Caenorhabditis elegans: one gene and its partner. The protein of the gene in region 2 interacts with the protein of the main gene of each other region in a biochemical or structural test. Each region holds a gene or a part of one and is shown on either strand. Other genes may lie near its edges. The genes, in order: skn-1 and akt-2.

Evidence for each region.
Region 1: of the proteins of akt-2 (region 2) and skn-1, one has a biochemical effect on the other in vitro, tested with the Caenorhabditis elegans proteins (one study listed by BioGRID).

What each region holds. Positions count from the first base shown.
Region 1 is NC_003282.8:5,652,741-5,662,274, forward strand, and holds the start of skn-1 (Protein skinhead-1), read right to left. Parts: upstream 7,645-9,534; coding exon 7,516-7,644; intron 4,826-7,515; exon of another isoform or gene 4,676-4,825; intron 4,631-4,675; exon of another isoform or gene 4,578-4,630; intron 3,169-4,577; coding exon 3,030-3,168; intron 2,868-3,029; coding exon 2,443-2,867; intron 2,264-2,442; exon of another isoform or gene 2,213-2,263; coding exon of another isoform or gene 1,983-2,212; intron 1,939-1,982; coding exon of another isoform or gene 1,788-1,938; intron 1,403-1,787; coding exon of another isoform or gene 1,247-1,402; exon of another isoform or gene 1,209-1,246; intron 1,137-1,208; coding exon 815-1,136; intron 762-814; coding exon 609-761; intron 490-608; exon of another isoform or gene 356-489; coding exon of another isoform or gene 127-355; intron 1-126. Other genes in the region: clec-178 (C-type lectin domain-containing protein), read left to right, coding at 1,247-1,402, 1,788-1,938, 1,983-2,212; bec-1 (Beclin homolog), read right to left, coding at 8,600-8,785, 9,397-9,534. UniProt on the Caenorhabditis elegans protein: Transcription factor. Required to specify the fate of ventral blastomeres in the early embryo, and postembryonically for the development of the intestine. Directly regulates expression of zygotically expressed med-1 and med-2 to direct mesendoderm development.
Region 2 is NC_003284.9:14,140,693-14,158,674, reverse strand, and holds akt-2 (Serine/threonine-protein kinase akt-2), read right to left. Parts: upstream 10,976-17,982; 5' UTR 10,969-10,975; coding exon 10,874-10,968; intron 10,671-10,873; coding exon 10,562-10,670; intron 9,670-10,561; coding exon 9,469-9,669; intron 9,426-9,468; coding exon 9,306-9,425; intron 9,082-9,305; coding exon 8,884-9,081; intron 8,413-8,883; coding exon 8,221-8,412; intron 8,111-8,220; coding exon 7,982-8,110; intron 7,935-7,981; coding exon 7,572-7,934; coding exon of another isoform or gene 7,527-7,571; exon of another isoform or gene 7,295-7,526; coding exon 7,115-7,294; 3' UTR 6,707-7,114; downstream 1-6,706. Other genes in the region: ceh-90 (Homeobox domain-containing protein), read left to right, coding at 1,662-1,667, 1,716-1,850, 1,894-1,947, 2,417-2,503, 2,558-2,653, 2,699-2,770, 3,429-3,560; ceh-89 (Homeodomain-only protein), read right to left, coding at 14,484-14,495, 14,847-14,975, 15,032-15,169, 15,213-15,302, 16,375-16,428, 16,475-16,540, 16,691-16,729. UniProt on the Caenorhabditis elegans protein: Acts downstream of PI3 kinase age-1 and kinase pdk-1 in the daf-2/insulin receptor-like transduction pathway. Essential role in regulating developmental arrest at the dauer stage.

The DNA of each region.
Region 1 (9,534 bases), on a different chromosome or scaffold from region 2:
TTTTAAGCCGCTTCTAGGTTAACAACCCTCTGCCATTCCAAGATATGAGGGAGCCCTGAAAGGAGGAAATGTTGGAATGTCTAGATAGGATGAAAGAGAGAGAGAGAGAGAGAGAGAGATAGGAACCTCTGTCAAAAGTGCTCGAGACTCCTGAATAGGCGTATGGATGTTGGTGATGATGGCCGTGTTGATCCACCTGTTGTTGATTGAACATTTGAAGGTACATGTTCAGTATCTTCTTGGATTCTTCTTCTTGTTCGTCAAAAGAGTTGACAGCTGCTGGAGCGGTGTTGGTGGTGTTGGTGGTGGTAGAGGATGCCAGAAGAGAGGAGGCAAAATCAGATGGAAGTGACATTCGGGTGGGAGTTTGAATTTCAGTCGTTTATAAGAGAGCAAATAAAGGAGGATAAGCTCCAGATTGAGGCTCCGCCCACCAAACTACGCTTTCATTTCAGAAGTTCAACAATGGGCACGCCTCCTTCATTAGTCTCTCAACTTTTGTCAGGAAAAATGATTAGAGCACACGAATTGATAAGAGAATAGATAGAGATAGCGAGGAATAGACGGGGAGAGAAAAAGAGGAGAAAGTGCAACCAGCAGCAACTCACCATCGTTTGGTACAACTTCTGTTGGAAGCCACTGTTCGACAGTCTGTGAATCGGTTACATTGAACAAAGTCTCTGGTTGAGCAGTCGATGTTGTTGGAATTGTTGAAATGGAAACTTGATTGCAGGAATCACGCATCTCTTGCATCTCGGTCACTGAAAAATAAAAAATGTTGAATGAAAACACAATAATTAAATCAAAACCATACAATTTGCCTGATTATAAACAATTCCTTCCGACAGAGAAACATTATTGATAACTGGATGTTGTTGCTTATTATCAAAAAGTTGATTCAATTGTCCTTCTTCTCTTGAAACATCCTCGAAAAGCTGAGCAAGATCTTCATCAAACAGATCATCTTCCAATTCGGCTTTTTGAGTTGGATGTTCAAGAGTTGGTGTCTTTATTTGTTCTCGTTGTTGTTGCTGATGTTTCTGCTGATATTGATTGTTATTGAACGACTCGAAGAATCCATTATAGAATCCTTTCGAAAGATCTTCATATCGAGCATTCTCTTCGGCAGTGAGTGGCTGAAATGATAGAAATTGTTTAAAATTTATTTGCTGAGAAATTTGACACCATCATCTCTATGATTGTTTTCCATTCAATCAGCTTCCCCCAATCATTCCTCAACTCAACCATGATTCTTCTTCTCCTATACCTTCTCATTCCAACTATCAATACCGTAGTCATTCCTAGCCCTCTAAAATCTTCATATCAATCTATTGCTGGACAACGTGCAATAAATCTCGATGTCAACGTGCGTCTACTGACTGTGTTAGCTCTTCAACAAAGTGTAAGTTATCCATGTACTTACGCAATAGGTATATTCCCTAAAGAGTTCGTCCCTGTCTATGACGCATCTCGTCTAAGAGTTTCCAACTGATAGCTCAAAGTCTACTTACGTGCTCTTTTTGACCTACAAAATACTCAATATCTATAAAAGTACGTCAGAGCGGCGGGTCGTTGAATTGTCATCATCGAACGTTGCTCTGGAAAATCGAAACAACGCCCTCCACCGGGTCGAAACGAATCCTAGAAGTTTTACGCTGCGATAAGGTATCAAGAGAGAGACAAACAATGAAAAATAAAAATGACGGCAACCAGGATAAGGCGTGCGAAAAGACTGCTCGGCTCGTTATCGTAATACAGACTAACACGAAAAGTGACGCCGATTGCAGGGCTGGCAACTATACGAAGATCACTGGTATAAGATGTTTGAAACCGACGTAATGTGGATTCCAGCAGAAAATGTGTGTAGATCAATGGGAGGGCACTTGGTTAGCATCAAGGATGAATCCGAAAACCTATTTGTACACAAACTAAGAAAGAGTGAGATATATCCTTTTTCTAATTGAAATTCATTACTACTACAGAGAACAATATTTGGATTGGCCTCAACAAGCTAAATGATACATTCCACGTGTACAAGTGGTCTGATGGTTCGGAAGCCGATTATCTCAACTGGGCATCTTCACAGCCAAATGAGCCAGATGTTGATTGTGCCTACATGGCATTTCATCAAGAACAAAGAGGCACTTGGTTTGATTACGGTTGCCGTGAAATGTTGCCACAGTTTTTTGTATGTAAATTGCCAATGCCATAATGCCAAAATTTCCTATCACTAAATTAGTATTTCAATAAATGAGTTTTTTTTTTTTGTGTTTCCTTAAAAAACCGGAAAATCTTTTTTTAATGGGGGTCTCAATTGCTCAAGTGTTTTCAAACTTCTTTTTTTGATTTTGCATTTTGCTCGAAAAAAAACCAAAAGGACAACCCTGCTGCAGATACTGTAGGATAGGTTTTACTGTCAGAAGCTTCGGCTTTCAAACTCACCGCTACTGTCGATTTCTCTGTCAACGTCTGCAAATCACATTCGTACTGATCAGCAGGAGCCACTTGTCGTGTGCCCTTCTCTCCAGCAATATCACTTCTCCATAGCACATCAATCAAGTCGATATCCTCGAGAGAAGGCGAACTGTACTCGTATCGAGATGATGTGGTTGGACGTTCTGTAGATGGTCCTCTACCGAATGGAGATGCTGGTGGATGCTCGGTGAGTATTGGCATAACTGGAACAGTTTCTACTGGACCATTCGACATGAAATACTCCATCATCCGTTGATCATCACGCCAACGGAGACCCATTGGACGGTTGAATTGTGGATAATCATATTTGGATTGGCCATTGAAATCTTGTTCTTGTTGATGCTGATGGTTGACTTCATCAAAGTTCCTATTATTGCTGTCCGTGTACATTTCTGAAAATATATATCATAGTTTTGTATATTAATTTAAGTTTCAAAAGTGCAACTACTGCTTTTGCTCTAAAAAATTCGAAAAGTACATCTGATTCATTAAAAAGTCCCTAGCGACAAAACGGCTCGAAAAGTGATCAGATGCACTTTTCAAGTCATACTCACTAAATGTCGGTGATATATTGTCCAGAAGATGTTTTGTCGTGATCCGATCGTATGACGATGATTGGATTGAGGTGTTGGACGATGGTGAACTGATCACCAAAATCAGTGATGATGTTGCAAGTATCCAGATGAATATGGACTGAAAATTTGGAATTATTTTTGGGAATATCGAAAATAATATTAACAGGGTGGAAAAAGCAAGGAAAATAAAACCTTCATCAAACATCATCAGCTGTAGAAAATAAGAAGAAGAACGATTGGAAAGAAAAGAAGAAATGTCCCTCTCTCTCATAGGGTCGAGAGAAAATGAGAGAGAGAGAGAGAGAGAGACAGAGATATATAAATGCCTACGTGACTGTTGTTAGTTCTGTACACCGTTTTTCACTCACTACAGACTGATTTTCGATGATGTCATTGGCGTTTGGCCTGGCGCCAAATTTGAATTTCAGATAAATTTTAGAGAAAGAGGACACAGGAAGTCGTTCGAATAAAAAATCAGGTTCGAATTTTCTAGAACAATAATATCAGATGTAAATAAACAATAGAAAAAATTGCGATGATGCAAAAGATTTCGCAATACTTTTCAAAAATTGAATTCTGTTTTTAAAAAAATGCTACAAGACTACCGTAAGAAGTCACTTTTTTAAAAGTTTCTTAGTTTTCAAAAAATAAAACCAAACATTTTTGCCTAGAACAGTTATGTTAAAGTGAACTATGAACTGTCTAGAGACGACTGGATCAGAACAAAAAAAGCTAGAGAGCAAACAAGAAAAGTTGGTCAAATAAACGAGAAAAGGTTTTTTTTTGAAAAATCAATAGAAGTGCTAACGGGTTACTGTAGATATACGGGTTTTTAAGGAACTTGCAGAATTGAGTCGAGAAATCTACAAAAAAACTATTGAAATTGGGAGAAAAGCGAGAATTGCGTGAAAACTAAAACAAAAGTCAGTTTCGAGTGATTGAAATGCGACAAAAAATCATGAAAAAGCGAGAAAGCTTATACGAGTGAGTGAGAATATAATTCTAGATAAGGGCAACTAAAACATTTGCCGAAAATTCGAGTTCAAACTTGCTATCAGTGAGAGTTGAGAGTGCTTGGGTCAGGTGCCTGATTGAACTGGAATTGAAAGAAAAACATACATTCAAAGGCGCCTGACAATCAACAATTCAAAAAAGAACTCCGATTTCTGGGCGGTCCAAAACCGCAAAAAAAATAAAAGACAATTGATTCCAAAAACAGTAAACACAAGAAGTTAGTTGTCGTGTTGAGGTTACCAAGTGAAAAATGGCGTCAAAAAACAGAAAGAAAGGCGATTTCCAGAGACAACGAAAGAAAACCATCGAAACAGTGCACTCGGTGTCCTTATTTCTCTAAGTTCTCTACGATTTGTGCTAACTTGCCGCCATGGAAATGATGACAAATACGAGAGAGCGCGCCGATAGAGTAGATCACAAGACGAGGAGAGATGGCTGAAACTGTAGACACGCAGGGTGTACGAGAGAATGCTGGAAAGCGCATGTCCAATGGGAAGACGCAGAGGTAAAAAAATTTTGTGACCGCCGTGTCTATTTGCCTGAACACAGATAGACACAGACTTGTGGAGATCGAAAATCGCAACTTTTTGATCCGAAATCTTGGTGCGCGGTAAATTAACGTGCGCAGAAAATTGACCAATTAAATGAAAAACTAGAAGAGAAGGCTGCTGTGGGGGCCGTAACGAAGTCAACGAAAGCTGATAAGACCAGCATTGTCGCTCGCCGCTTGCACCAAAGACGACGACTACAAAACGACTACACAACGGCAGGTGAATGTTGTAGCGAGAGGGCGAGTGCGACCGAATTGTTGCAGGCAGGTAGTAGACGGTGGGAGGTGAAAAACCGAAGATCTGGAGAATGTGTGTGTGGATGTTGATGCAATTTTTCATAGCACGTTGCCCTTAAATTCTGATGAATCCACACAGAAGTAGTACAGAGCAGGACTGTGCGGAAAAATATTTCGGCAAACGTACAAAAATGAATATAAAAATGTAGGAAAATGCTCGCTCAATCTGAAAATGATATGTATTTTTGTTGGAAAAGTTTGAAAAAGACTTTCAATTGTGCCGTCTTTTAAAAAGTTTTCAAAAAAAATTTTTTTTTCAAACCGAACGAGCATTTTCCTACATTTTAACATTAATTTTTGATTCAAAAAGTTGATATATTTTTCGAAAAAAGTTACAAGTCTAGTACAGAATACTTTGAAAAACGATTGAAACTGAAACTCACGAAACCGAGAGAACAGTTTAAAACAATTATTCAATAAACTTAATGCTTGGTGGTACTGCTGAGAATAAAAAATTTGTTTTGATTTAATTTCTTCTCAACGCCTAATTTCAAAATGCGTGCTGGTTTTCACGTTTCCAAAAATCCAAGTTTTTTTTTGGAAAGGAACCAAAAATTCAAAAATAAAGCATATCAGTTTGAAGTTTGTGCCAAGACTGATAAGAAATATATGAGAGATGCAAAAGATATCACTTGACGAGAAAAAGAAAAGATTTTCGATATTCTAAAAAAGAGAGGTTTGGGTGCACACGGAAATCGGATACATCTACAATTGAGCTACAACTGAATTATTCAAACCACCTGCGTCAGACATGCATGGGAAAATTGAATTATCCACACACCTTCTTCCCTGTTGATATGTGATCAGAATTCTTCGAAATCTTGGCTAAAAATAATTATGATACTAAACCTGCTACAAACCACGTGTTTTTATTTTTATTATTACTACAACAAAAATAAAAACAAGCGCATAATAGTCTGATATTTGGTTGAAAATCTCAATTAATCAGAACATATCCTGTTTATTTCAGGATATTATGATCAAAAATCGCGAAATTTAGAATATAGTAGTTCCGTCGGAACTCAAAGAACTCAATCTTTCTGTTTGAGTGTACTGTGAGTTTGACATCATATTTGGCTGTTTATGAATTCTCGTAGAACGTGATGTTCAGAATTATATTTCTTGACCTCAACCGTGAAAACGAATAGGTTCAGCATGTCAAATACATTGCAATTCAATTAGAATATAGTAGAAGAAAGCTTCTACTCATATTCTGTCAATAAATAATCATACTTTCAATTTTTACAAATCGAAAGCTGTGATCCGAATTTCAACTTATACCAATTCCTTGATCCATTGCGTGCAAAAACCCAACTAACCATGTCAACCGCACCCATTCACAATCAGACCACAGATATGATTCAAGTCATTTTTTCGGTTTTAAACGTCTCATTTCCAGATGATATCATCTTGCACCGAGAGCGTCAATTTAATCAAACGGTTTGATCAAACATTGTACGTGGTGGTGGAAAACCGTTGTTGATAGTCGCTGTCGGCGTAGCAGAAAAAGTTCGAAAAATCAAGAGCCTCGTGGGGTGTCTATCAGGATGGTAATGCTGCTATCAAGCTGGCATATAGGCAATCGGGGGTTTGCGATTTTGGAGCGACTCCGGCAAGATGTTTGTATAATATACATATATGGAGGACAATGTACAGACAGTAATATTTTAGGCTAAGTTTAAGATTGAAGAGATTGGAAAATATCTGAAAATCTGATGATCTGGCGGAAGAAGGATTTCGGAAGGGAACGGTCTTCTTAGCGGCTCTGAAATACAAAGATCACGCTTTCCATTGTTTTCTTGAATTTTTGAAATTCTACTTTTCAGAGGACTTCGACTTCGTCCTCTGGCATTTACGAACATAGTCGTTCCGGCATCATTATTGCAACAGAGAGAGAGAGAGAGAGACAGAATGAGCCGTGAATAGTTTCAGACAACGAGGCAACTGTGACATTCTACATGAGATAGTTGGGATTAACACGTAACAATGCGGGAGACCTAGATAACGAGAGTGATGTGACTGAAGTGATAAGAGGAGAAGGTGGTCTGATATGGAGTTTGGGAAGGAAAAGCTGTTCAAAGTAAATATGTTACGCGGTCTTTGAGAAATGATCTATAACCGGGTGTAAATAAGAAAAAATGTTTGAATTTGAACTTGAAAAATCATATTTTTGAAAACTCGACTCTCAATTGTGGTGTATTTTCCCTATTTTAGTCTACTCGAATTAATAGAAACTTCCAAGAATAATATATAGGTAGATGATGAAAAAGCTTAAAAAAGCTAAAAATAGGCTCCACTCAGATCTTGGTTATTCTTTTAGTTTTTTTTCTTGTTTCTGAAGAAATTAAGTAATCCGTGAAGAGAAAAGCCATGTTTAAGGTTAAAGCTGGAATTTTGAGCCAAAAATCTTGGGAAAAAATCTACAAATCTTAGTTAAAGTTGGATTTAGAACATGAAGAAAACAAAAATTGTAAATGCAAGTAATATTGAATCAGAATTGCAAGAGTTGACTGGAAAAGTGATACGAAAAGTCATGCTCTCCCGTGAAATGATGATATTCTTCAGGTCTTTTTACTTGATAAAACCAACAAAAAAAAAACTAACCGACACTCCATAAATTGACGTCGTCTCTTCTTCGTCGTCGGCTACCGAAGAGAAGCACTGTCTTCGTCTTCGTTTATCGTCTCGTCTCGTCGCCGACGTACTTCGCTGACGGCGTGATGAACCGCCCATCGACTGACTGGATTATGATAGATCCTGTGAGAATGAGTGGAACACTTCTCTCAACAATATTCGGACACGGACTCGCGGCTGAGTGACCAGAGTCCGATCGACGGAGGAGAAACGCGTGAACGACGACACGAGGCCTTCTCTGCAATATTTTGAGTTACAACAATTTTTTTTCTAGAATTCAGAAAACGGGAATTTTCGGAATTACAAGAACTATTCTAGAAAAAACTAGAAACTTCGTTTTTGGGGAATTGTATTGTCTACAAAAACCTACAGTATTTTTTTTCAAATTTAATTAAAGGAGGAATATAGTTTGTGGGAGGTTTTCGCTTAAAAAAAACTAAATCTGGCACAAAAGTGCCGAATTTCATAGTGATATTTATTTAAATAATTTCAAAAACGTTTATGACTGGAAAAATCGAAAAAACATTCAAATTTTCCACACATTTTGGTCGAAAATAAAAAAAAAACGGTGTTTTAGCTTTAAAAAAATCCAGAATTTAGCAAAATTTGGACCTTATTTTTCGATATTTTCAGTTATACATTTTTCGAAAATTTTGAGGCAATATTAGTAAAATCAGATTAAAATAAGTTTAGTGGTAGGAACTTGATTTCACAGTTTCAGAAAATTTTAATAATCATTAAACCAAGTAAAGCAACAAGAAAGAGAAAATAAATTAGGAAAAATTCAAATTTTAGATAACAGAATTGGTTTCAAAACCAATCAACAAAAAATAACAAAATTTCCTCCACAAGACTGCAATAAAAATCTTTACTTTTAATATATTTACATATGGTACAAGTTTGGGGAAAAGGCAGAATTCCAGCAGAAAATTTGAAAAAAAAAACTAGAAATCACAATGAAAATTGAATATTTTTTAAAGAAGCGTCCCTGAGAAATTGAAAAAAAAATTTCTAGCGTTGAAAATGTTATTCTACATTTGATCCCGTGAAATCACTAAATAGGCGATCTGAGAGCATCGCATTGAGCACACGCAGCTTTGAGATCTGTGAGCATTAGAGCCATTGCACGAGTCCATCGAACATCTGTGTTGAGTGTCATAACTGCATTGTATTTGACACCATTGTCAACCAGTGAATCAGCATGAATTTGATATGGTGGTTTGAAATTTTTGTTTCGATCCTGAAAAATGTATAAAAATTAGGGTGTTTCTGAAACCAAAAAATTATAAAATCGATCTTTATACCGGAAAATGAATATTGTAAATCCATTCTTAACGAGATGTGAAATTTTACAGTTTTGCTCCAAAAATACTTTAAAAAACCCGATTTACTCAAACTCATAAGGGATCGTGCGCCTTTAAGGCCTACGGTATTTCCCAACTCCTCAAGTGTTCACCCAATTATTTAAATAAAATTTATTAAAAAACATGTAAAAACACGCCAAATTTCGTAGAAACGGGCGGAAAACTAGGAAAAATCACTCTTTTTCACTAGTTTCTTTCAGATTTGGGTTGGTTTTATACCTTTTTAACGTAAATCGGTTGAAAAATGGGAGTTGGGAACTACAGTAGGCCTTAAAGGTGCACGATTTTTTTGAAGTTCAGAAAATCTGTCTATTTTTGTATTTTTGAAGCAGAAATCGCATAAACTTTTGCAAATGGGTAATACGAAAATAAATTCACAATACTTATTTTTGATGGATATGTCTTTTTTATTCTGTACAGAGATCGATTTCAAGAAAACTCCCAATTTTTTAACCAACTCCGAACGGCAACATATTTTCCCACAAACCTTGAGCTCTTTCAACAAAAACTCGAGCAACTGCAAGAATCGACGAATTCCAGGATCAATTCCAGATGATCCTGATAGTGGAGTTCCTTGTCCATACAATGCGTACGTTTCCATGTCGATGCCATTACGACGAAGCTT
Region 2 (17,982 bases):
TAAAGGATCTAACGTAGTGTCAGAGTGTGCCATTTTGGTTTGATCTACGTAGATCTTCAAAAAAAAACGAGAGAAAAGACGCAGAATTCTCAACTAATTTTGCATGGTTAAGAGCGTGCTGACGTCACTTTTTTTTTTTTTTGAAAAAAAAATTCACACATTTTTTTGTAGATCAAACCGTAATGAGACAGCCCGACACCAGAATTTCCGAACAAGTATTTTTGTTGAATGCTCCCAACCTTTGATTTTGGACAAACGAAATGTAATCAGTAGTACAATTGCAAGGGTGAGATCAAAGAAATTAGACCAGCTCTCAACAATTTTTCATACTAACTTTAAATAAAAGCTAGTACGAAAACTCAACTATTATTCAACATTCTGATTATTATCAAACTGATATGCAGCTATACTTCAGCAAGTCACATGAGTTAATTGTCATTGTTGACGTTGCTCACTAACAAGGAACCAATATTTCTTTCGAGTAGTTAGTATTGAGCCGCACTCGTTTCTATTAGAAACGCTATCCATCGTTTCAGATTTATCCGTCGCACGTTTATCTTTACTAATCTGGTTATAGTAAAAACTTGATCAATTTTTTTTGGATCAGAAACACAACGTTTTGGAGATGGCACTGTAGCATACTTATCAGGTCGTTATAAGAAAAAAAAAGCTTCTAAAGCAGCTTGGATAATGACTATTTTTACAGTTATTGTACACAATTTTCGTACTTTCTCATAATAATATTTTGCTACTGCTTTGCTTGACGTTCTACTTTTAGGATAACCTATCTGCGTATTTAGTGTTTTCTATGGTTCTATCTCTCAATCAGATAATTTGCAACTCAGTTTTTCTCTAGAATTTTTCTTTCAATGCCTGTCCTGGTGCAATCATTTACCAATTTATTCAGCACATAAAAGCGCGCTTCTCATGGTTACTGTGCTAGCGGTTAGGTTTTAGGGGGAAGCCTCAACTAATTCTATCTAATTGGTATATCTTCAGGCGGTCACCGTTTATCATTTCCTGCTCCATGTGCGGTCTATGCACCTGAAAACTATGTGTCTCCCCTGTATCTACTGTTGCCAGCGATGTGTCTCCATTTATGTGACACTGCATACGCCTGCATTAAAAAACACCACTCCGGCGGTTTCTGACTCTCCAGGCCTTAAGTAGTATATATTCTACTATAGGGGTTGTTCATAGTTTCCTAACGTTGTATACATGATGCCAAGTGAATTATACGCTCTAGGATAGACTCAATTTGGTGCAGGTGCACAGAGCCCACAAGATGCGGAGCAAATGATAAATGTAGGCCGCCTAAAAAATAGACCAATTAAATAAGATTAGTGGAGAAGCAACCTCCGACTAGATCCTACCCGCTGACAGGAAAACCCGATAGGAAAATACACCAGGACAGGTGTCGAAGAAACCCAAAAGAAGAATTCTGAGAATAATAGGTACGATTAACCAGATAATGAAAAAGTACCATTGTACTTTCAAACTCTGCAACTCTCAAGTGTTTCTCTCCTACACGGGACGATAGTCACTATCAATCTTAATATTTTAAAAGTTTATTTTAATTTTTGCTACTGCTCTTATTTCAATAATCTTTCATCGACATTTTAGGTAATTCTCCATCCGAAAAACTTGTTGAAAGCAACAACATGGAGGTAAGCAAGCAAACTTGATGATTTCAAATTCCATATTTCATTTTTTAGAAGAGTAAAAAAACGAGACAAAATTTTAAAATAGCCGAGTTAGGGCTTCTGAAGGAGTCGTTTGAAAAAGACTCACACCCTGGAACTTCTGAAATGAATCGTCTTGCTGGTTTATTGAATCGAAACGAAGCTCAGGTTTGTTGTTAAATTTTAGAAACAAAGTCTACTATTTTTTCAGATTAATCGCTGGTTCAAGGCAATGAGAGTAAAAGTGAAAAAGGCTTCCTTAAAGGTAGTTGAAATTTAATTTTTATGTGAATCATTTTTGTGAATCAGTTTTGCTGAGAAAGTTACTAATTGGGTTTAATGAAATGCCTGTTGTCAATTTTTAATGGGCTCTTTCTCTGCGTTTGTCGCTATCATTTTAATCTTTTCAGTCAATTTTCATAGAAGTATTTGTTTCATAATTATTAAGTTGCCGACGTTTTCCATTTTAATAAGTTTCATCACACTTCTGCTTTTATTGTTTGAAAATGTATTATTGTTTTCATTTTTATGCTTGGACAGCTCAAAAAATCACATTTTACAATTACCGTGTCAGAGAGTTTGATTGAAAAATCCAGTTGAAGTTTTTTTTGACACATACTCGACTTCATTCTAAAATCTTTGCAAAATGCACACAGTTCAAGTTGTAGCGCTGAGCATCATTATCGCATTAGGCTCCTGGAAATATGTTGTCATGTATAAAATAAATTTTGAAGATGTCGAGAGAAGTTACAAGCCAATCGGGAAGCAATGTAGAACTCCTGGGATCTTCGATTGTTCCCGAGCCACCGAGTAGTGAAATAGTATATTTTTTTTCGCTTTGACATAAATACATACAAAAAAAACTTTTCTTGAAGGTGTCATCGCAAGCTCAATACCGATTGGAGAACATGAAACTATTAAGCAATGTTCCGGAAACTTTTAATGTTGCAGGACCGTCAAACAGTAAAATGGTATGTTACTTTTCTCCGAGTTTTAAAATACAGAAACTTCTGAAGGTACTTCTGGAAGCTTACATGAACACTGTTCGGCAAACTTCGAGTGTTGTTGGGCAATCAAGCAGTGAAATGGTATGTTTTTTTCCAGTTTTGAACAACTGGTATGTGTAAATGAGTTCTCACTAAACCTCAAATTATTAATTTCACCCCAAATTGTCAGATGCCATTCAGACGTACTATATTAAAAATGCATTGCAAAGTTTTAATCGACAATCTTTGGCACTCTTATCTAAATTGTTCCACAATATTTCTCTTGAAACCATACAAATTCAATTAAAATCAGATCAACTTTAAAGGCGACGAGATTAAAGCTTTAAATTTTCCCAATGCCAATCCTCATTGAATACTTTTCACCAAAAGCGTTAATTTATTTTATGAGACTTTGATATTTACAAAAAGTCATAAAATTGAAGTAAGATCCGTAGTTTTTAGAACATGATAATTTGACTGGACCTGCTGTAGAATTGAATTATAACTTTTATTTGAGGTTTTTAAAAACTAATGGATAGACGTTTCAATATTGTAAACATAGAAAAAGTTGGGAAAAATGTTCGTCTCATTTGTAGTATTTTATTACTTTAAACGGCTAAAAACATTTTGAAAATTAATTCAGACTCTAACACATATTTTGCTGTGAGAATACAAATACATATAAATAGTGTATTTTTCAAAAAAAAAATTGAACTGTCATGTTTTTCTAAAACTATGACCTAACTGTATTTCATTGCAGCATACAACTCCTATTGTTCCAATTATTCAAGCCAACAATGATCTGCTCACTGTCAAACCACAAGCTCCACCCAATCAGAGTATCGGACGCAAATCATTCATACCCTTCACAATTGACAATATTCTCTCGTAGAGTAGATTTAGAAACAGCTTTTGTAATCAGATGTTGTAATACATTTTATAATAAAACTTCTCAAAAAATTTATGTGTTTTTAGAAAATTTGATTTTTCACTGGATTTTACATATTACATTATACAAATTACATAGCGGGACTTCAAAAATTTTCAAAATTTTCCACGGCGCTTCAAAATTTCAAACAAATGGGATTGGTTATTGTTGTTCTTTGAAGAGTTACTGTAATATTCGCTAGGAGATATTTTGACAGTGCTCATTCTGCGGTAATAGAGGTGGCATAGGGCCGATCCGCATTATTGCGTTGACCCGCGACCCAGACGGAGTCAGAGTTTTTTGCAAGTTGGAGTGCACTCATAATACTACCCCGCCGGGAATTGTAGAAAGTTGAAGAGACGCATGCATATTGAGGACCAGATGGCGGGGAGAAATAGATTGTTACACGAAAAAAAAGATTGTTACACGAAAAAATAGATTGTTATACGAAAAATAGATTGTTACACGAAAAATAGATTGTTACACGAAAAATAGATTGTTACACGAAAAAATAGATTGTTACACGAAAAATAGATTGTTACACGAAAAAATAGATTGTTAAACGAAAAAATAGATTGTTACACGAAAAAATAGATTGTTACACGAAAAAATAGATTGTTACACGAAAAAATAGATTGTTACACGAAAAATAGATTGTTACACATAATGAGGGCCGCAGGCCCGAATATACTCAGAAGTGATGGGCATACGTTAAGCCTATTCTTAGCTCAATAATTCAGGTTGAGGGCCGCAGGCCCGATTACACAAAGAAGTTTTCGACATCAGTTAAGCACCATTTGAAAGTGGAACTTGTTATTTTTAAATTTAATATTAAATCAAATTTGGCCGGTCTTGACAAACTTCAGCACATTTACAGAAGTTTTGAGAATTCACGTCTTTCCAAAAAGTGAAATGTTTCATTGTTCGTTATTTTTCAAATTTGAAAACACCATTATATTTTGGCTCAAACACTTAATAGCAATAGAAATTTCGCACTTTTACAATCTACGCCACACCCCTGAAAGTTGTCATGAACGTTTATATCTCGGCTCTCACTGGACCGAATTTTGAAATTCTTTTTTCTCCACATTCACAAAATATAGCGACGTGTGTTCATCTAAAAGGGGGTTGATTTTGGAGCATCCTGTCGGCTCCACAAGCGGAAAACCACAGCCTGCTTGTTTTTGCGCACACCGAAGTACTGGCCGAAAACCACTTTAAATTGAAGGAAAATTCGAGTTTCAATCGAAAACATTTGAGACTCGAAACTTAAGTTCTCCTTCCCAATACCTATCCATAGTATCCAAATTCATTGTGATATCTCTATTCGTTATTTTTAAAACGATAATTAAAGTTTTGCCAAAATTTCTGCACATTCCCCCTTTTCTCTCACACACACACCCACCTCCCCCTTTCATATTTGGTGTGTTTTCGGTCAGTTTTCACCATTGTTCCGGTCAAATCTCTGTTAGTCTTGCTTTTTTTCCAATTTTTTTTTGGAAAAATGTTGAATACATCGAGAGGAAGCGAAAAATATAATTTTTTTCCAAAAAAGGTGGATAATCGTATCAAAAATCGAAAAATGAACATTTATCTTGAACAATTTGCATTTTTCCATAAAATTCACAAACTTTCCACTATCGTTTCGGTTTTTATGTTAAATTTAGAGTTAATAGAATGATTCAAAATGGAATCTCAAATCACAGCTCTATCCGATCATTTTTCGCGGAGATAGGTTATTTAGTTTTTGCACATGGAAATCCAGTTTTCCTCTGTTCCTGGACAAGTTTTCTACTATGCTTTTGATTTTATTTTCTAATTTTGATAATTTTCACTAAAGAAAGGTAGACAATCTAAATTTGGTCGGCTATGACAACTTTCAGTTGACTAGTCTTTTGGATTATTTGAACGGATTGTTTTCAATCGATCATGTCGATTTGGCAATTGACCATGATCAACTTTTTGGGGAGTTCAAATCTGCTTTGAGCCACCCTTTGTTTCGGAAATGCCATTTTCTAAAACTTCTCGGACATTCGTACTTTGGCACTGAAGATATGGAATTTATATTGAAGAATTTCGATTCGAAATATGGATTCCTGACTTATTGTTTACACAAGGACAAGATTGATAGAAAGCTGGTAAGTTGAAAATATCTTTGCTGAATTATGAGCATATTCACATTTAAGTGGGCCAATATTCCACGATTGGACATCGAAAAAGGCCCAGGATTAACACTAGACGATTTGAAAATGATGGATTGCGAGAAAATGAGATTTTATGATCTCAATACAGTCTCGGCAACAAAACGGAATAAGTAAATTCATTACTGGCTGGCCGGGAATTCGCCGAAACTGAGAAGACTTCAATTGAACTACTGGTGGCATAATTGGACGGGCGAATTATTGAAAGGTTTATCATATTCCAAATGGAATCCAAAACGTAGAGCAAGAATCTTCTGGTATGTTTAATTAAGGTCTTTTCCAAATAATAACTTTCTGGAATTTTCAAGTCATAAAAATGGAGGGAATCATTCTGATATGCATTATTCTTGCTTAAAATCTAGGGGAAAACAGGGAAAAAATAAAAAGAAAAACTACACTTTAAAACCACATAAGCTAAGTCGAAACTTAAGCTTTCTAAGCCGACACCTGATTTCAATTTTAATGCTTAGCCTAACCTGAACCTAAGCCCAAGCCTTACACTTAACCGGAACATATGTCTAAACTTAAGCCTGCCAGTTGAAAATTCAGTTTTTTTTAAATTGTCGTTTCAGTGATGATCTTGAATTTGTGGATTGCACATATGGACTCGATATTGAGAGAAGTGATGGTCTACTCGAAACTATTCTAATCGAAAACTTTGCTATGTACTTTCTCGTATGGCATGACAGATTTCCACAGGATCCCCGAACATTGTTTCACTTCTCGAAATCTGTTTCAATTCCAATTACAACTTATTAAAAGCATTCGTTTTTCTATGTTCGAAAGTTTTGAGATATAATGCACTTTTTTATTAGACATTCAAAAACTGAACTAAATAAATTCTGATAAAAGTTTTCTTTGTTACTTGAACTGAGTATTTGTCTTAATGTAAAAGTACTGTTAAGTCATCCATGTGAGAAAGGTTCATTCCCGAGAAAAAATGTCGGCGACAAAATATCAAGAAAAAGATGTTATCAAGAAAAGGAACTGTGTTTTAAAAGTTTTAAATATACCCGAGAGATGGGTATATGAATCAAGTACTACAGAAAAACATGATAAAAGAGCATTGTCAAAAAAGTGATGCGAAATGGGGAGTTTTAACAGGAAAGGAATGGAAATTAGCCCAGAGGATGTGAGCAACACGAAATGTGCTCTACGCAAAGTTTCAGTTTTTGGAAAGGTTGAAATGTTTGAAAGAGATTTTGTTAAGTTCATGAAAGAGATAACAAGTTTTCAAAGGAGACAATGAAATGTTGACAAAATTGAGTGAATGAGAAAAAAACGTACAGAAAACACAAAAAATTGTTGAAAACAAAATCATCTTATTTCGTATTTGTCAGCGCTTCTGTTCGTATCATAAGATCGTTCCAAGCTTCCCGACACGTAGTATGACGCAAATTGTATGAAGTTGGCTTGTAATTCTTCTTCCTCATCAACTGTCGGAAGTTCTTCCCCTCTACGTGGAGGCGTCAGTTGGACCGGCATTGATGTGAACTCCTGAGTATATGTTAATATCATTTTTGAATCATTGGTTCTCTTATTTCTAGAAACTATGAAAACTGTTATGAAAATTGGAAAATCCTAGTCATTAAACAAAGTGTTGTTTGTGTTTCAGTATCAGTAAAAAAACTAAATGAAATCTTATGTACGTTGGCATACATTTTTTTAAAACTGTACTAAAAATAACAACACTTTGCCCTAATTGTAAATCGTTTACTCTAAAAATTACTCATATTGCTTCTGAAACTTTCAAAAGAATTGAAACGTAACGTACTCTGTCAAAGAAACTCGTGTCCGTTTCAGACATCACATTTGGCTTAAATGGAGGTTCGACTTCTTTTCTTAATGTTGCTTCCCAATCCACATCTTTGAAAAATTCAGCTCTCGAAACTTCACGTGCATCATCAGGACCGGCACCAAGCCGCTTAGCTGGGACCCTTTCGAGTAGTCCAGATAGTAATGTTACGGCTTCTGGGCTTAACCTATTCGGGAACTTCAAATCACATGTCGTAATTAGTTCGAAGAGTTTGCCGTTCTCCTTTGCTGAAAATGGAAGCCGTCCACACATCATTTCGTACATGACCACTCCGACTCCCCACCAGTCAACACTACGGTCATAGTCGATGTCTTCGATAACCTGAAACAATAGACTAATAACTTGACGCGAGAATTGAAAGGCTTTACCTCTGGTGCAAGGTATTCTGGTGTTCCGCAAAAGGTGCTTGTTTTATCTCCATATTTGATTTCCTCTTTGCACAACCCAAAGTCAGTGATTTTGATGTGACCATCTCTGTCGAGAAGCAAATTTTCGAGCTGAAAAAACAATGGAAAAAACAATGAAAAAACATCAAAGTTGTGAAATTCAAAAATTTCTGACAAATACTTCAAGTTGTGATAACCCCTCTCAAAAAGCTTCTACTTACTTTCATATCACGATACACAATATTTCTGTGATGAAGGTATCCAAGAGCAAGTATGATTTCCGATCCATAAAATCTTGTTCGTGCTTCGCTGAATGTTTTGCACCTCTGAAGATGGGTGAACAGCTCGCCACCATTTGCAAACTCCATCACAAAACAGATGTGATATTGTGCTTGGAAACTGTATTTAAGTAGCTGAAAAAATATATTTGTGGCACTGTGTCAACAACTGGGGAATTCAAATATTTTAAATAATTGTAAGTAAGATATATTTGTAAAGTTATGGCAATCGATAAATTTATAGGAAATATGTATTTCAGAGTTTCTTAGAGAAAAAAAATATGGTTCCACGGAAACGCCCGCCCTACTTCGGCACGCCCATGCGCCAGCATTATCACACTCTGTGTACTGCTGCCGACGCCGCGCAGGACCTCGCGCCACTATAGCTACGTGCAACAGAGAAAGGCGATGTTGTGAGGGCGGCGGGAGTGTGGGGCGTATTGTGGTGCTGGCGGGCGAGAGTAGCGCCATCGTTGAAATCCTAGTGTGCATTTATCCGTCTCTCTAAACATGATTTTTTCACGAAAAAAATCATCTACTTCAATTTTCACTGACATCTGCCAACATTGTACACCGACTCAATATTTTTTCGACCAATAAGCATACCGTGAGAAAAGGGTGAACGCAAGCATACAGAACTCGATTTTCAGTCAAAGTGTGGGCCACCTCAGAACGATCAACGACCATTTCTTTTCTGATAATCTTAATGGCGTAGAGCTTATCAGAACTTTTCTCCCTGCACAAAATAACTTTTCCGAAGGTTCCTTGACCGAGAACTTTGAGGAAGTCAAAATCGTCCATCGTCTGCAAAATTAAATAACTACATACATTTAAGAAATAATAGAGATACAAAGCAAAACTTGAATTTTTAGCGGAAAATCAGAAAAAAAAGTTTCGCTCAACCTGTCAACCAAAAAAAACTTGTTGCGCCTTTCGAGTTAATCATTTTTACTCAAAAAACTTTCTTTAAAAACCTCTTATTTCCACATATCAATACGTGGATTTGTTGGCAGGATTTTGAAACTTACCACTGTATTTTTTCTTGGAACTTCCTCTGGTTCGTCGATATTCATTACAGTTGACTCAAAATCATTATCCGAACGGGTGCTTGTTGCGTCCATGTTCACATCACTTTCTCCAGACGGATTCTAAAAAATTTCATGAAAATTTTGAATCTCTTTACTTTCATACTCCATTAGTATCTTCCTCCTGCATGCTGGTATTTCCTGCATTTTCTTTCAAACGATTGTGACTGGATACAGCTTGAATTGCTTCAATCCACATCTGACGGAAGTCGGCGCTATCCGCATAAAATGTGCGTTCAATGACAGTGGTCCATTGGAGACATCGCACGATAAACATATTTGGTCGAGGTTTGTCAAGGCAAACCGTCTGAAATAAAGCATTTTGGTAGTTGCGGTTTTCAATATGGAAACTGCCTACTGGCAATTACTTAAAAACTTATTTGAAGTTCAGCTAAGGTTTTCAAATTTTTACTAAAGAGGGATTTCTACATATGTATATTACTGGGGTACTAACTTTCTGCTTAAAGGTGGAGTAGAGCCAGGGAAGATTTTGTTCAAACACATTTTTAATAATCCAAAATGTCCGAATATCATAATGAAGCATTCCAATAAATTTTAGATTTTTCATAATTTCCGGTCAAAGTTTTGGCAAATTGCCAAAGTTTTGAAAAGTATGAGTTTTTGAAGAAATCGAAAGCAATGTCGAATGTTCCGACCAGGGGTGTGCGGCAAATTTCGAAATTTGCCGCACACGTCAAAAATTTGACAGTACAATTTTGACTAAAACTGTTGATTTTTTCGCCAAAAATTTAGTAAAATGACAACAAATTGAGTTATTTTGATGTTTAAGCAGACACACTACATCTAACTTGTTCAGAAACCAGAGGTGTGTTAAGAATTCAGTAGTTTCGGTGCTCCAAAAAATATCAAAAAATATATAATTTTTCCGATTTTGTTAAGCACGGCAAATTTGCCGAATTGGCCGTGCTCGGCAAATAATGGAAAAATAGATTTGCCGAATTTGCCGAGCTCGGTAAATTTTGAGATTTGCCGCACACCCCTGGTTCCGACCCTTACAATGTTTCAATGGATATAATTAAAACAGATATACAGTATAAAAAATGTTGGAAAAAATTCTTTTTGTCGACTTCCAAAATAATGGGTGGCAAAAACTTAGTAAATTGTCTGGCGCTACTCCACCTTTAAAAGCAACGATTTTGAAAACTTTCTAGTAACCATCTACAGGTTCAAAAACTTACCGCTGCGTCTCTAATCATAAAATTATTCAGTGGCTCTGGTAACGGCTGATCTTCCTTTGGCTTTGACCGGAATCCAAGCAACGTTCCATCTCGAAACAAGATGAAGTACCTAAAATACTGACATCTTAGGATTTAATTTTCATTTATTTCCAAATTAGTTTTGGTTTCCTGTTGGAAGATTTTCATTTCCAATTCAGTGCAATTAAAGTGAAAACTTTTTGAATATCTTTTCATAAGGGACAGTAGCTATGAAACTTAAAACTACTGTACTAGATTGGATACATAGGCCTGGTAAAACAATGAAAAACTTACCTGGGGCGCCAATTACGAATGTGCTCTCCTTTCTTGTGAAGCCAACTTTCAATAACAATGTCTTCTTTTTGTAGATGGGCGTTTTCAGTAGACATTTTTACGCTGTAAATAGTGATAATTCTTTCAGAGATTTTGTTTTAAAAAAGAAAAATACGTCGTTAAAAAAATACAATTAAAAGGTAGTTTTAAATTATGGTATTTATGTACTATACCTGCCCCAAAAATGGAAAACCACGTGTCCCACTACGGTGTGATCTACAAAAAATGCGGGACTTTTTAGCCACAAAAATGTGACGTCAGCACGTTCTTAACCATGCAAAATTAGTTGAGAGCTCTGCGTCTCTTCTCCCGCATTTTTTGTAGATCTACGTAGATCAAGCCGAAATTAGACATTCTGACACCACGTGGAAACCCTATTGGCAAAAATTTTTAGGGCAGATATACTACACGAGCACTTAAATATTACAACTTTTCCATTACATCTTAAAAATTTACAAACATAGTTTGAACTTCATGGTTATGAAACATTTATAACAATTTAGTTTTAATTGATCATATTTTCAATAAGGCTTTGAAGTTTAATTTTTTTAATTCAACACTAATTAGGTTCTACGACAATTTTTCCTCCAAAAAAAAATCTAACGAACTAAGAATTCATAGCTTTGATAAAACACGAAAAAAAAAAGAAGAAAATAGTCGTTGGCTACGAAAGACTATGGGAAAAACAAACACCCCTAGTGACGTATTGTGGCAAACAGAGGAAAAGGACAGAAGGAAAAGATTGCAGACAAAACTTGAGCGGAGAAGCAGAGAAACGCCGGCAAGAGAGATGAGAGAGAAATAGAGATAGCAGCGAAGAGAGGGGATGTGACCTTTTTTGCTGCGGCAGGAAAAAGGACGAAAACAACTTCAGACACTATTTCTCCCCCCGTCAACAGCATCACGAGAAAGGTTGCGTTTGAATATTGATTTTTTTGGAAAGCGAGATTTGTTTTCAAAAAAAAAAAGAAGAAAATTCTGGAATAATGAAATATGAGAAACATGTGCGTGAAACTAAACATTTTCAAATAACGAGGGAATGTGAATTCTGGTGGATCAAGTATAAAGCAAAATTATTTTATGTACGCAATACGTTGCTCACAATTTAATAACATTTAGTAACTTGTTTTCTCTTCAAAACAAATTATTATTCGAATTTAACTTGGGGAAAATTATATAAACCACCTTAAACAAAGATTCAAGTGACTGTATTATTGTTTTGTAATATCATAAATGCGTTATAATGAAATTTCCACTGACACGTGGTGTCAAATTGTCTCAGTTCTGTTTGATCTACGTAGATCTACAAAATTCGCGGGAATTTAGACGCAGACATTTCAACTGAATGCGCATGGCTAAGAGTGTGCTGACGTCATATTTTTTGGGGGAAAAAATTCCCGCATGTTTTGTAGATCAGACCGTGATGGGACTGCCTGCCACCACGTGCACAAGAGCTACTCCACCTTTGCTGCAAATCTCTATTCTTTTGGTTAACTGAACAAAAAGTTTAAGCAGAAAGAGGCGTATTTCACTGGAAGTAGAAGTGTGATGTTATATACAATTTTAGTTATTTAAAGCGGAATAATTTAACGAGGTATTCCTGTGAATTTTGACTGTAGGCGTTCGTCTACTTATTTCCGCCGTTCCGTGCAATTTTAGTAAAAATCTATAATTTTGAAATCTCTAAAATAAAAATGAATTTCAAAAATGTATAATATTTCCTAACGTCTAGTGGAACTACATAGGTAACTTTTTGTCTGGAGTAAAATGGGCATGGTGTTGAAACAGTGAAATATGTGATTTCCTTGTGATATTTGTTGTATGACAACCGTCTTACTTTGAAAAAACCAACGAAGCAAAAAAAGCATGCGGTCGGAAGAAAGTGGTAAACAACTTGCCAAGTGAAAAATGCATCCAAAACCACAAGATGATAAGACAACCGACAAACAAAAAACACAACATAAACTGTAAAATGCCGGTTTTTTAAGTGTCGCAAGACATTAAATAACAAATTTTTGAAGTTTCGCAACTCTCTTTTTCTATATTGTTTACCAGATGTGCAGTTTTTTTTCTTTTATAATAATATGAACTACTAAAAACAAAGAATATACATTTTAGAGATTCCGAAAAAACGACAAAAAAAACCGAAAACGTGGGATTTGATCTCTGAAAATCCACAAACAAGCATGTCAACAACGTCTATTATTCAGTTGTTTTTTGGTGTGTAGTCCTTTATATAGAACAAGGACACCACAAAAACAGAAACGTGCAAAATATAAAAAAAAAGACATATTAATTACTCGTTCTTCTCGCAGTGGACAGATATGAATTTTTATTCGAATATACTGCTATTTTGTATATTTTGTCTGCATTGTTGTTATTAGGCCTGTGGAGTGGGTCGCCCCATTTTTTTTGGGTCGGCCGGGTTGGGGTCGCGTCCCCGACCCATTTTTTGGGTCGGGGTTGCGGCCCCGACCCACTTTTTGGGTCGGGGTCATGTCCCCGACCCATTTTTTTCAAAATTTAACAGAAAGTTATCAAAAACTTGAAAAACTATTTTTTGTCAAAAAACACGTGTAAAAGCTGAAAATTATAAAATTATCGTATTTTCATCAATTAAAAAAACATATCCTATTTTCGATACAAACAAGCATAAGAGTCAACGTTTAAACACGATTTACAACAAAACAAACTTTTTTTTTCAATTTCAGACATTTTCCGAAAATGGGTCGGGGACGCGACCCCGACCCAAAATTGGGTCGCGGGTCGACCCATCTCGACCCATTCAACAGGCCTAGTTGTTATTAGCTTACAGTTTCAATCGGTAGGCACTCAATTTTTGGTATATTTGGAAGCCGATTATCCGAAAATGCACGTAAAAACACGGAATAAACAATTTAAATTAAATAGAAAGTATCAATTAAAAATATTAACAGCGCATTTCAAAAATATTAAAAGTTATTAAAAAATACAACTGAAATGGAATAAAATAACTTGAAAGCAAGACTGATAAAAGTTCACATTTTAGTAAGACAAATAGATAAGGACTGGAAATGTATGTCTCAATTGATATTATTGAGTGCAGGTCCAATAGAGAAATAAATGTAGCATAAGTATTAAAGCAACATCGTTTTGAAAATACTGTAGCTTTGAAATCTCAAACAGGTCGGCAAACCGGAAACATAAAATAAGGAAAATTTAAACAGTTCTCTACAGAGCATGCTTGAGTTCTCGTAAATACTTAACGTGTTTTTGACATGGTGAATATGGGAAATTGATGATTGGAAAGGATCTGTCAACATTTTTTAAAAAATCCTATTTTTCCAAGCAAATATAATAATATGGGTTAATTACAAGTCGTGAAAGGTTAATTAATTCAGATATTATACGATTGTTTTTTTAGATTTGTTAGGTCTGCAAAGAAGGATGGAAAAAGGACCCTTAAAGTAGATGTAAGAGTGGAGTCAGTGAAAATGGGGAACAGACAGATAAATAGTTAATGTGTTATCTTTATTTTAAAATGCTGCTTTTTTGTTGTCAATACAATGGGTGTTTCTTCAACAATTCTTTTTCAGATCGGGTCCTGAAAATAAAAAGTTTAGTTTTGCAGAATATCAAAAAATATAGGGTTTTTCTTCTTACAATTAGTTCATTTTTGTTCAAAGCCATATCCATATTGTCCAAAATAGACAACATATCTCAAGTGAACTTTACAAACATTTACCGTTGTTATTTACCATTCCCTATCAACTTCTCCATCATCATCCCAAGGATAATCGTACGTTTCGAAATCATCCATTTCCACAGTCCCAAATGGCCACCAACCATATACAATTAGTTCAGGCTCTTTAAATGACTGAACGTCTAGTTGCAGTATTCCCCCCGCGACACAGTTCCGATTCCTTGTAGGAATAGCTTCTAGTATTGGATTCACCTGTTCCAGGTCCACTTTCAAATGAGCTCTGCTTCTTTCTCGTTCAGCAGCCCGTTTTTTCTGCTCCTCAGTCACTGGCCTAACAATTCTGAAGTTTGTGCCATTACGCCATTGGAACCAGCGACGAACCTAAACGCGTTAGAGTTTTTTTAAGGAGAATTTTTAAAGTAAAAAAAAAAACTAACTTCTTTTCGAGATAATCCTGTATCTGCCATTATTTCCAAAATTTCATCGTTGTTTGGATTTTTGTTTGCCTCAAAGGCAGGAAGCAATTTGTGTATGATAGCTGGAGCATATTTTTCCGAGTAGTACGCGTTTTGAATCTGTAGCTCAAAATTAAAATTTAGTAGCACAATTTAACGTTACCAAATAATTCTGTGCAGAGTAACATTCGGATAATTCGGATGACGAAGAATCTTCACGTCTTGATCTTTCGATTCCAAGTGTTTGATCTGCCTGAAATTTAGAGTATTTTCAAACGTTTTCTTCAAACATTCTTATTTGAATGTATTAGAATTTAGCTAAATATATAAGCATATGAAACAGTTGAAAAAATGATTCAAGATCAGCAAAAATTATGTGTATCTTAATTTTGATTTTTTTTTATCACAGTGAAATTTATATTCTGGTCTAATTAAACTCGGAATATTTTGAATTATTATATTTGTCATTTTTCTAGTGAGCTGAAACCAATCTTTAACAAATTTTTTTTCTTATTTTGATTGATAACTCAGCGTTTGTTTTAAATTTAAGCACGTTTTTAGTACACAGTAAGTTTTCAGAAAAATAAAATATACTTCAATTAACAAAAATCACATAAAAATCACCTTCCGCCAGCTGCGATACTGTAAAATTGGCAAAATTTAAGATTCTTGTCGCATCGAAGGCGATTCTTAATGTTTGATCCATAATATTCTGACTATTCACATTCCCAGAAAATATTTTATTACCATATTCCCATATTCCCTCGAATTCACATTCCCAGAAAATGTTTTATTACCATATTCCCTTGCTTCCTCACGCCCCTGCTGATCGAATTAAGAGACCATATAAAAGGAGCCGGTCAGTTCCCCAAGAATATACACTATTGTTTCCCCCCTTCTTCTTATTCATAAATAAATATTTGGCCTTATTTCCTTGTCCTACTACCTCCTAGGACAATTCTAGCTATTTTTAAATTTTAATGATTTGAAGCGTTATTAAACATGTTTTTAAGGATTCTTATTTTGAATTTTCAAATTTAAAATTAGAATTATGAATTAGAATGAACAAAAAAAGATGACTTAACATTATGATTTCTTTTGCTTTGAAGCACTTTTTGTTAACGTTTCAACTTACTTCTGGAATTGATACATTCTTAGACTTATCAGAAGACTTCGAACGAGACGAAGATGAAGACGATGAAGATGAAATACGCTTTTTGACTACAGGATTCTGGCTCCTTCTAGTTTGGCGCTTTTGCAAGTTATTATTTAGAAATGATAAATCTTTTAACGGTTTCTATTTTTACAAGAAAGTAAAAACTTACTGAATCCGAATGTGACTTTGTTGTAGCTGGAAGTGATTTCAGTTTGCAAGCTCTCTGCAATTTTTATATTAGTGTGACTATTTTGTGATGCAAATCATACGTTCGGAAGATTCCGTGTTGATTGTTTCTGAGTTTTTGAGTTTTCCGTCTCTCTCCTGACATTTTTCTGAAAATTGTTTGTCTATTGTTTTTACTTAGTTTTAATCCAAATTTGATTAGTTTTTGGCTTAAAATTAGTTCAAGTATCTTTACAACAGAAAATAAAATGTAATGTGTAAAGAAAAATACTTTTTAAAAAATAAAGTTAACAACTTACTGTGCGTGACTTTTTCGAACTTCTTTTTGATGGAGCCATCTGAAAACTAAATAAATAAGTTTTGAAAATGTATAATCTGAAAAGGTTTTTTTTAGTTATTTCTAAGAAAATGCTATTCAATTGTTGGAGAAATGTGGAAATCGCATGCAAATATTTTAGGCTTATAAAAACAAAATGCTACAGAGTCAACTTCGCTCTATCGCACAAGAAGCGGGATGTTAAAAAAACCGCTTTTAAATTGAAACAAAACAGGAAATGTGGGACTTAATGTAAAAAGAGTTAAATCTAGAAGCTAGATAGTGAAAACTAGAAACTAGTTGTGTTATCAAATTGGCCGTATTCTTAAAAGGAAAAAATAAACTTAGAAAATCGATGAAGAGTGCAAGCGCACACTCTCCCAACATTTCTACCCTCTATGTCTCGGTCTCGTACTTTATTCTAATATGCAATCTCCGGTCAAGTGTGTTAGTGAGATGAATGAAAAAATAGGAGAGATATGAGAGCTAACAGATGTTCTTTCAAAACTGACTCCGTTTTGCAAATCAGATTGTGACGCGGGAAAACGCATCAAAAGTGACGCACGCAATGGAGTTGATAGACACTTAGAAAACAAACAAAAACAGTTATCAGAGCCAAGTGCTGGAATATTCACATTTTAGGTAATAAGTAAAACAAGTAATGAATGACAGTGAAATTTAACAGAAACACAAACTAATTGCACAAACTGCCAAATCTGAAAACGCCAAACAGCAGAAGCTCTGCACTCTGAGTTTAATGAAAAAACTGTACTCATATTGTAGTTTTAAATGCTACTACATACATAAGTACAGAACTAGTAAAACACTAATTCTCTCCAAATGGCAAATAATCTTAAAGTACTCTAGATATCTCATAATGATATAACATTCATCTCAAAATTTATTTATTGTTATTCAAATGTGGTCAATTGTCGTTCATTCAAGACACACTTTCACATCGAATTGTTCAATATAAGCTTGGTGATTCTGTAGTTTTTATTATTTAAACGGTACCAAGTTGGGTTTTCTACAATTTTGTTCTTTTGTTCACTTTTCCAGAAGCTATTTGATATTCAGTAAATAGTCTTGCGATCTCTATTAGTCTTGCACTCCTACGGCCCAATTTAAATTTAGTCCAACATGCAAGACTAATAGAGGTCATTCGGTAACTGCATTTCCAAGTCCACATCATTTACTCTACCAAAATCATCAATGAGCATCTGGGTAAGCTGCGTGATGTGGAAATAATTTCTGCTGTCTAGACCGATCATAAAA